2 linked regions of the Caenorhabditis elegans genome follow. The protein of the gene in region 1 interacts with the protein of each later gene in a pairwise test. Each region holds a gene or a part of one and is shown on either strand. Other genes may lie near its edges. The genes, in order: hcp-2 and vpr-1.

Region 1 (6,753 bases):
CAATTCGCATCGAGTCTCCTTTGGCAGCGTCCTCTCGTCCCTGTAGTTCACTCTTGGTGGAGGTTTGTTGAGAATTTTGTTGTTTGGTGCATTCCTGATGAAGTCCGCTACCAGCTTCGTGTGATTCTTCTTTTGGGCCTCCGTCTTGTCGCCTGGGATGTTGTCGAGTCTGAGCTTTTCAGAGTCCGATAGCTTCAGCGGCGGGATCCTTGGCGGTTTAGAGGTTCGTTCCAGTTGGCGCTTTGCTTCCAGGTCTCTGCACGGGTGCGTGTTTGACTTGATCGCTGCCAAGTACATCTGTTGCGTCGAGAGCTTATATTCTTCTTTCAAAGGGAGAACTCTGCATTCTTGGTAGATGTGGTCCGTCGGCGTGTCCTTCGTTAGTCCAACTCATAACTCCAATCTTGTTGCCGTTGTTATTTTGTTGTGGCCGTCTTGTCGAAGGAAGGGGAGGAGCCTAGTCAACAAGGTAGATCAAAAATAAATTATGAGAAATTTGTGCGATCGTATTTTTTCGATAATATCACGGTCAATTTTTTAAATGATAATCAAACAAACTCAATATAATCAATGATCTGTATTTTTTCGGATTTAATTAATCAATTCAATGCATCAAAGAAGAAGACTATGTAATATAAAAGCACAATCATCTAAATTTAAATTCACATAAAGACATTTATTCTGACCCGGAAAGACATTCACAGTTGAGTAGTGCGCGGAAATACGTAATGGCACACAAAAAGTAAAAATAAATAAAATACGAGTTCAAATTATTGCTGGTTGCAGTTTGAGCGGTTCGCCTTCTTCGACGGCGTTTCAACTGCAGTTGTTTCTTGAAGATGATCATCTGGATGGAGTACCGTAGATGACGTGATAGCATCTGGCGAATGGGAAAACTCTTCTTGGAACGAATCCTGAGCATCTTCGAACTTGTCCTCAACAACAGGCTCTGGTGGCTCCGCATGAGAATGTTCACGACTCAGCGGCTTCACTCTGAAATATCAAAGATTTACATATCTGAGTTTTGTCGAAAATCATGGAGACTTACCCAAGTCTGGCCTGTTGAAGGAGTCCCATTACTTTTGGTGGTTTCTTGATTCCTTTCAATTGCTTTATCTCAGATTGAAGCTTCGAGATGGCATCCTTCAGCTCTCGTTCAACGTCGTCGAAATCGTCACACACCTTCTCGAGTCGTACAATCTCCTTCTGGGCTCTTCCCAGTTGCTCCTCAAGTTCCGCTATTTTGGATAGTGCTTCTTCTAGAGCCGCTGATTGCTCGTTCTTCTCTTCCTGGATCACAGTTATATCATGCTGAGCTTGCTGCTCCACTTCAACTGCGTATTTGTCCGATGCAACCAGCTTCTCATTCATTTGTTGAAGTTGTACTTGTAACTGAGACAACGATTCAGTCAGTGTACCGACATTCATGGCTTGGGTCTTCCAAACATTCGATGCTTCAAGGCGCTCCTCGAACTGCTGAGACATCGCTTCGATTCGAGCTTGGAGAGTGATAATCTCTTTTTCTTTCTGAGCAATCATTTGTTCAGCATGACCAAGCTGCTCTTTGTCTGCGGAAACAGTTTGGTTGAACTCGTTTTGAAGTGATGTCCTCTGAAAAGAAATAAATTATGTTCTGTTCGAAATTCGAAAGAATATACCTCTGTCTCAAAGTCTTGCTTCAGCTTTACCATTGCCTCATTCGCCTCAGATATCTGAATGTCTTGTTGATGTTTGACGTCTTCTACATCTTGAAGAGCCTTCTGTGCAAAGGAGATGGAAGCTTCAAGCTCTTCGATACGAGCAGCAAGTTCATTTGACTGGGAACGGGATGTTTCCGTGGAATGTTGAGCCGATTTGAGCTCGTCGAGAGTCAATTGAAGCTGCTCCTGCTGATCACGATGTTTCGATACTTGAGCGATTAGCTGAAAAACAAGTTTAATTCGACTGAAATCTTAAGGAATTTAAACCTCTTCTTCTCTTCTCTGAACTTTAGCTTCGGATACTTCTAGGCTCTTTTTCAGTTCTTCCATCCCTTCAAGAGCATCCCCAAGCTTCGCATTCAGTTCATCAACCATTTCCTTGTTCATTATCTTAGCTCCAATCAGTTCTTCCTTAACATTTTCCACTTGGGATTCTCCGACGACGAGTTTATGTTGAAGCTCTTCTAGTTGAGATGCCAACGCCACCATATCCCTCTTGTGACTAGAATTTAGTTTTTCATTCAGAGATTCGAGAACTTCAGCATTTTGTTTGAAATTTTGAAGGTCCAATTGAAGTTGTTTTATCTCTTCCACAGAGCTTTGTTGAAGATCTTGAGCAGACTTTTCCGTATCTTCAATTTTCAACTTCAGCGTATCCACCAGTCTCAGAAGACCATCTTTTTCTTGAACTGCAGCATCAACCACTGATCGAGAAACTTCTTGTGATGCCGACAACTCCAGTTGAAGGGCTTCGAAAGATTCTTTTAAAACCTCACTCTCCATCACTTTCTGACGAGCATTACTGACTTCTATCTTGAGCATCTCCAGAGAGACCTGCAATTCTTGATTCGTACTTTCTGCAGAGTGCAATTTTTCCTTCAAATCATCAATCAATGATTCCTGTTGATTCTTCAGATCTAGAATTTGTTCTTCAGAGGAGGCCAAATCAGAGCGAAGTTTTTCGTTGGTTTCCTCTGCTTGCCGAATTTTTCTCAAATAATCTTCAAGGATGTGTTTTTGGTCTGCGGCGGAATCTGACTGCACTCGAACTTCAGCTTGGAGAGAATCAATAGAGGATCTCAGCTCAATAACTTCTGCTTCCGTCGACATCAACTTGCTCTGAATCTGGTACTTTTCTTCTTGATGTCGAGCCGATTCCTGGTGCATGACTTCAGAAGTCTCGCGAAGAGATACAAGTTGCTGAATTTGTTCCTCCTTCAATTGATCACGAAGCTTCTGACAATCTTCTTGAACAATTTCTAGCTTCTTGAGCTGTGAACTTCCAGTTTTTACAGCTTCTTCTTGTGCCAACTCCAATTCTTTAATTCTTATTTCCGCCTCTTCCAATTCAACTGATGTTTCATGTTGAATTTCTTCTAGTTCCAGTTGAAGACTGCAAACTTTATCCACCGAAGCCTTATATTCTCTTCGCATTGTTTCCAACTCAGAGACTGTGTTTTCAAGAGCAAGCGAATACTCATTTTGTGTAGACTCCGAATCCATTAGAAGTTTATCGCTGGCCTCAGAATCTTGACGAAGAGACTCAATGGTAGTCAATAGTTCACTGATTCGAACATCTTTATCTTCCGCTTTACGATGTGCATCGTTTAGCTGACCTTCCATGTCCACCAATTTTGCATTTTCGACGCGAAGGCTATTGATCTGAAATAAGAAATATAGTGCAATTATTTCTAAACTCGAACTACGAACCTGTTCCAGGAGTTCACCGTTTTTCTGAACAGCTTCCCCAATTTCTGACGTGGCTTTCTCTTTCACTTCTACGAGCTCTGACTGAAGTTCAAGCATTTTTGAAGTCAAATTGCAACAGTCAATTTTGAGATCATCGAGAGTCTTCTGAAGTTCTTCCAGTTCAGTAGTATCATTCTTCGGTTGAAGAGCAGACATTTCATTCTCAAGACGATGGATTTCATCCAACATCAGTTTACGAACAATTTCATGTTCCGACTTCAGAGTTTCAATTTCAGAGTTGGAGAACACCTAAGAAAAAATATAATTAATTTTCAGGCAAGATATTAACTGCATTACCTCTTTGTTGATCGTTGTCTCCAATTCCACATACTTCATCTGTAGTGTCTCAATGTCTTCCTTAGCCTTTTGCAGTTGTTCATCAGCCTCCTCTTTCATTTCTTGCAACTCCACAAACTTTTTTTCGTAGTCCTCAATGCTGTGTTGCATGACATCAACCTTCAGTGCTTTGTCAGTAAGCTCTTCACAACGACTCTTCAACTCTTCCAACTGATGTTCAAACTGTAGTTTCTCTCCGTTCGGCTCCGTTAATTTCATCTCGAGCTCTTCAATCCGTTTCTCAAGAAGTTGTTCCAGAGTTTTTGCAGCTTCGCGCTCAGATTTCGTCTTTTTTACAGCCTCCTCCACTTGTTGCATGAGCATTTTCTCTTCAACTTCACGAGCTTCTTTAATTTCAACAAGAGTTTGTCTATGTTTCTCTCCAAGAAGTTCAATTTTCAATTGAAGATCTTTAACGACTTCATCATGCTCGATATTTTTCTCCAGCATTTCGAATTCATATCTGAAATAAACAATTTAACAATGGGAATAAATTTAAATTAATCTTACAAAGAATATTCAATTCTCGATTTTTCATGCTGAGATGTTGACTGAACTGACTCTACAGAAGTTGACTGCACAACCTCACTCTCGATTGGAATTTTCGAACGAAGTGGGGAAGGAGCAGTTGGTGTACTTTCGTCTCCAACTTGTGTCTGGCTCCGAAGTGGTGTTGACGGAGTATTCTCTAGATCTTGAATCGTTGCTTGTTGGAAGAAGTCGTTCGCCAGTGTGACGTCACCATCAGTCGCAAAACTCTCGTCAGCAATGCTACAGTCTTTGCTGATGCTGTCTTCACTGTAAACCTTCGTTTGTTCCAAATTAGGATCGACATCATGAGCTGAGGAAGCTCTTGGCGGTTCACAGACACTGTTATCATCAACGGAGGTATTTGGCGGGGCGAGTGTGGAAAAATTGGAGATTGAAGAATCATCAAGAATAGAGTCGGAGGTACTGGTAGACGAATGGCGCGAGTCTGGCTCAATGCGAGTTTCTTCAAGATTTCCATCGGCCAAATTCATAGCAGAACGCCCGAAAAACCTTTTCGATTCCTTTCCGAGACGCGATTTCGGTGTCGCAGCAGAAAACGGAGATTCAAGCTGTTGTCGCTTCTGAAATTGTTTTGCTTTTGATAAATACAAAAATATTTAATTTACCTTCCCAGTTGCAGGCTTGTTTTCATCGCCGTCGTTTGTACTTTCCTCCATATTGAATTTGATCAAATTCGTCTGAGAATTTACGATAATGAGTTGGGGAATTGCACTATTGAAAAAAACAGTCCACGTTTAACGAAATAAAACGAAGTGAATCTGGAACTTCACGAGAAAATAATAATTTTCAACAAAACAATACAAAAACTGGAGCAATCGTTTAAAATTTCGCGCCGTTTCAATAGGGCGAGTTTGTATTTGCAATGCAAATTCGAATATATTCGATCCAATCGAACTCTATATTTTGCTTAATTTTTTTTGCGGAAGGAATTTATTTTTAAACTTTGTTCGTTTCCTTATTTTTAGTAAGTATTAGTGAATTCTTCATAATATTATCACAAAAACGTTAGCAATATATTTTAAATATTGTTAAATATCCATCGAACCACTGAAATAACGTGCGCAGGCTTTCAGATATTTGGGAATGAATATCGATAAGGATGTTTCAGCTCTGCTATGTACGGCGAAAAAATATGTGACGCAGAAAGAATTCAACAGGTATAATTATTAAATCTTATCTTAACTTTTTTATTTTACATTTTCAGACAAAAAATGAAATTCTTGTTAGATGACATAACTAAATTGTTATCGAAATCTTTCGTTTCCCGAATCGAGCAGTTAGACGAAAATGAGTTCATGGAAAAGATGTGAGTTGGAAAATGTAGAAGATGATGATTATATTTATGTTTTTTCAGAATGATCCTTCAGAGTATAACATTTACATTACATTTAATAACAGAGAAGCAGGAACTTTCTTCAGGTAGAAAATACAATTTAGTATTTGTATTAATATATTCGTTCCAGAGGAAAAAATAAGATTATTTCAATCAGTGATTGCGTCGATGTGTGCCTTTGAGGATGAAGAATTGGCAAAATGTTTTGACGTTAGCAAGAATTATATTCAATAATTCAATGTTTTTTATTTATTTCAGCGAATTCTATCAGTACTGATGATCTCTGTGACGAAACAAGACCCGAGAGAAACTATTTATTTCCTGCAAGGATTACTGGAAGTTGTTAAATATTGTGACGTCGAACCTTCGTCTTCTCTGCCACAATTAATCACTCCTGAAATTGCTTCAGCTATTTCATTAGGTGCCTCAGGATTTTTTAGATATCATTTGAAGTGGAATATCATTTCAACTTTATTCGGAGAAAACGCAGGAGAATGCGTTCATTTCGATGAATTGGTTCTGTTTTGGCCTCACTGCCGATCACAGTTGGAAGACAAACTGAAAAATGATTGCTCGATGACCGAAAATTGCTTGCGTGCTGGATTGACAATCTTAAAATATAAAAAACTGCACAATTCTATTCTTGATCAGGCCCTGTTCATTGATGAACTGTTTGCCACATTTAACTCATTAACTGCGAAGAAGTCGACCAATCACATGACGTTTCCAAAGCTATTGAATGTAATTTCATTTTTATACTTCGAATGTATAATTTATCAATTTCAGGAGATACAACACTTTCTACAGGATCATGGCAAAGTTTTGATTATGCATAAAGAACTTCGACAAAAACCAGTTCAATGGCTCATAATTTATTTAGAGTTAATCGATGATGCAAATGACAAGTTTGGACTACTAGAAAACTTTTCCTTGTTGTTGTTAGATTTATCGACAAACCATGATATACATGAGTTTCCTGCGAGGCTATGTATGACAGCAAGTGAGATTTGCATGGTGAGTTAATTAGAATATTAAACAATTAAATCTCGGAATTGTTACAGCGGCGAATCAAACACTCTATTC
Region 2 (4,110 bases), on another chromosome or scaffold:
AATTTGCGAATGTCTTCTCCGAGATTTGTTCCTCCGATACAGGCATGACATTGAACATTCATATAGTCTCCGAGAGCAAGAACTACCTGCAAAATGTGTTTTTTATTGCAACTCTGTATTTATTATATCCATACTTTTTGAATCTGGACAGCCAATTCTCTGGTTGGAGAAAGAATAAGTGCTTGTGTCTCTCGAACTTGTGTATCCAATGATTGAAGAACGGAAATTGAAAAAGTCGCAGTCTTTCCGGTTCCAGATTGAGCTTGAGCAATGACGTCACGTGCTTTAAGAATTGCTGGAACTGCTCTTTGTTGAATAGCCGATGGTTTTTCGAATCCATAGGCATAAATTCCACGAAGAAGGTCTTCTCGCAAACCCATTTTGTCAAATGTTGGAATAACATTTACTTCTTCAGAAGATTCGAATTCCACTGTTGCCATATCATCTTTTTCTGCTTTTTTACCAGCCATTTTGGAAAATCTGAAAAAAGATTAATTTTAAACATCACTCGAGTGACATTTTATTGTCGAGTCGCGTAAATTTCCAGGTAAATACTCCGAGATAATACGGCGAAAAAATTCAAAAATAAAAATAGTTATTGGAAACCATAAACATCAAATTTTATTGTACCATATACAAATCATGTGACTTAAATTGGTTGTTTCAAAGAGCATGGGGCTTTCTTAAAATCCATGGAGTCCTATATCAATCAATGGTTGTACACATAAAATAAATGAGAAAAGGTTGGGGGAACGGGGAACCATAGAATGGAAAATAAATAAATAAAATTCTTGATAATGGCTACCGGGTATGATGATAGGCAGTCACTAGACGGATCTATGATGGTCTAGAAGACGCCGGGAAAAACGGAAAACGAATAAACAAAGGAAAGAAGTGAAAGTAGTTTGAGAAAAAGTTTGAAATTTTTGCGCGCTGCGTTCACTAAAGAGGCAAGTATTCAAAATTTCAAAAAACCGAAAAGTTAAATATGTCAATTTACATTGCAGAAAATAACATTTTGATTTTTGAAATATTCAGAATTTCGCCCTTGGCAGAGAAAAAGTTAGAAAATTTAGGATTTGAAGGTTAAATTTGATGAAAATCCGAATGGAGCAATGCTTGTGTGTTTTAATGTTTGTGGCAGCAAAAAAGCACGTGAATGATAGTACCACTAGTTACTTAAAAGTGAAAATGAAGGAAGAATTGATTCAGAATTTAGAAAAGACGGCCAACAATAAGCCCGATGAGCAAAGCGGCAACCGCAATAAGGAAAATTTGCAATGTTGGGTATGCACCGTCGACAAGAGCTCCATCAGAATGCGATTGTTGAAGCTTGCGGTTCTTCTGAAAATATTTTTTGTAGAAAATTGAACACATATTTTTTTTTCCAAAGTGTAATTAATTTTTTCAAATTTCTTTTCTGATATTACCTTGAGCATGACTTCGATTTCTTGTTCCAATCCATGTACTTTCTTTTGCAATTCTTCTTTCTCGTCAACTGTCGATTTCAACGATTTGCGAAGGGAGTTAACGGTTCCATCATGCGATGGTGTTCCAGAGTACGAACTTCCGAGCTCTCTGCAAATATTAGTTTTTTATTGAATGAAGTTTATGAAGGAAACAATAATTGTTAACCTTCTTTTAACCTCCATTATAAGTAAAAACTCACTGTGCCTGTCCAGAAGAAGCAAAACTATCCTCGTTCCTAACCGCAAAGGTTTTTGTATCATCTCCAGACGCTGGATCTCTCTTGTCAACGAAGGTGACCATAAGCTTGCTGTAGGTCAGCTCCGCTGGATCGATTATTTTCCAGACCGATTCCAAATCTGGCAGATCTTCCGAAGGCGCCACACACGATTGAACCATAAACTTATGTCGTCCTGCATCAGATGGAATTCCTTCCAGAGGTTGAAGCATTACTGTGATTTGTTTCGAGTCACCAGATTTCAGGAGGCCTAAAAAATCAAAATCAGAAGGTCAAAGTAAACTTCAGTTTTAAAAATCAACCAGTCTAACAGATAAGGTCTAAATACAAATCATATTTTTCTTTTTGCGTTTAATTTCACTTTTTCCATATCAAATTGATTTCAATGCAAATAAATCCATCACTCACCAGAATTTGGACGAACACAATATTGCTTTGGAGCCGTTGTTTTCACTTTGAAGCACACTGGATTGGTTGATGTGTTCTTGAGAGTCATGTGTGATGTGACAACATCACTGAATGGGCCAGTGAACACGAGTTCACGATTTGGAGTCACTTGCAGAAGACTGTGCTTTTCAGACATTTTTTTGCTGAAAAAAAAAGTTAGTTCATATAAAATAATTATGTTAAAAAATAAAGATTGATAGGAAGTTTGGATCAAGGCGAAAGAATTAAAAATTGTTTTTTTTCTATTGGTATTTACGTACATCACAAAACCGAACACTAAACGAATATTTTTTCGATTTGCAATTTCGAAAAAGCTATAAAATGAAAAAGTCGCAGTGTATGTTCTAGCGTTATCAGTTTCTCTTGAGTTTTGGCCAGTGCTTAGTGCCTAGAGGCAAGCGTATTTGCTCTTGGCAAAACGAAAAACGAAAAAAAAATCGAAATCGTGTAGAAGTTATACAAATGCTTGTCTATCTTTCTAAATACAGTCTTCAATAATCTTGAATTTGAAATTTGAAAAAAATATGGACGAGTGTATTCAACACAGGTCATAAACAAAATTTAAACAGAAAGGCATCAAAAACGTTGTTCAGCCAGTAATTGAACGTTTGTCAATTGATAATCGGGGAGAGAAAAGTAGAGATGCAACTGATGGATGACCCGATACATGAAAAACACAACAAAAAAATAATATTATTTCCTATATTTTAACAACGAATAAGTCCAAAACTGCACAGTATTGAACAAAGGTTGAACCAATTCGAGAAAATAACAAATTATATTGAAAAATTATTCTGAAACGCTGTCAGATGACATGAATTCGGGTGAGACGTGGAGAGCGCACACGTTTTTCAAAAAATGTTGTCCTGAGAGATGCGTAAGAGATAATAGACGCAGAAGGAAAAGTGTATCTACGTCTCTTCCCTCTCGTTGACTTATAATTCGAGTGTGTGAGTGTACGTGTGAGCGATGTGTGTGTGTGCGTTTGGTAGGGGAGGACGAGTGTGAGCGAAAATGGCTGTCCTGGAGAAGGAGAAACACGTTGTTGGAGACGAAAGAGGCACCGAAAAAACACAAGCATCGTGAAGAAAAAACGATGGGATAAGAGAAGAAGATGGAATAAATTAGGATGAGATGTTTGCTGGTAGAATGTGCAAAATGCACTCAGAGAAGATTAAGCTAAGGCAGTTCTATGCAATAAAATCTTAATTTTTGTATTCCCCAGGAGCCTATAAATTAACCTCCAAGTCAAAACAACAGACAATTGAACCTTTTTTTGAAAAACGAGAAGAGCTGCAGTTTAGAAATGTTCGATATTTAAAATTTCACTCTGATTGAAATCATTATTTGAGCTCATTTATGAAAAAGATTGAGACGGAAATTGAAAAAGTTGAGTTAATAGCCTTATGCGTCAGCGGAAGATTTGATCCATATGAAGAATATTAACAAGTCGCAGTATGTATATCTGATGAAGCTAGAAACAGAAGACTTTTAGAATGAAAAAGACGTCCTCTTCTGCGTAAACAAAGTGCAAAGGACGGCGAATTTGAATGGAAGAGAGAGAGTGCAGACGCAATTAGAGCACCTCGGCTTGGTACTGCTTTAGACTTAGTTTCTCTGTTTTCCTGCCGTCCGGATGTGAGAACTCTCCATGACAACACAGATATTTCCCGTATCACACACTCATCGGAAACATAAGAGGGGGAGAAGGACAACTGGCTCCAACTATCAATCAATCGGGGTTATTTACACAATGATTTTTGTTCTTTTAATGTGCTAATAGAAGAAATATACACAAACACATGGAAGTAATATTGGGGAATTTGCACTTTTCTAGAAAATTAAAACTTGAAGTTTCAGGCTGAGCAAAAATAGCTCAAATAACTCGAAAAAAACTCAGTGAATAACTATTTTTATAACCAGGTTATAGACTAGGCGAAAAGGTACAGAGAGAAGAA

Evidence for each region.
Region 2: the proteins of hcp-2 (region 1) and vpr-1 interact in a two-hybrid assay, tested with the Caenorhabditis elegans proteins (one large-scale study listed by BioGRID).

What each region holds. Positions count from the first base shown.
Region 1 is NC_003283.11:9,644,122-9,650,874, reverse strand, and holds hcp-2 (HoloCentric chromosome binding Protein), read right to left. Parts: upstream 5,017-6,753; 5' UTR 4,994-5,016; coding exon 4,943-4,993; intron 4,898-4,942; coding exon 4,296-4,897; intron 4,249-4,295; coding exon 3,747-4,248; intron 3,699-3,746; coding exon 3,411-3,698; intron 3,363-3,410; coding exon 1,968-3,362; intron 1,923-1,967; coding exon 1,659-1,922; intron 1,612-1,658; coding exon 1,049-1,611; intron 994-1,048; coding exon 771-993; 3' UTR 664-770; downstream 1-663. Other genes in the region: atl-1 (Serine/threonine-protein kinase ATR), read left to right, coding at 5,421-5,494, 5,542-5,643, 5,692-5,756, 5,801-5,880, 5,929-6,411, 6,457-6,684, 6,732-6,753.
Region 2 is NC_003279.8:5,867,660-5,871,769, forward strand, and holds vpr-1 (Major sperm protein), read right to left. Parts: upstream 2,296-4,110; 5' UTR 2,289-2,295; coding exon 2,114-2,288; intron 1,956-2,113; coding exon 1,670-1,955; intron 1,579-1,669; coding exon 1,431-1,578; intron 1,345-1,430; coding exon 1,216-1,344; 3' UTR 607-1,215; downstream 1-606. Other genes in the region: F33D11.10 (RNA helicase), read right to left, coding at 1-86, 135-470.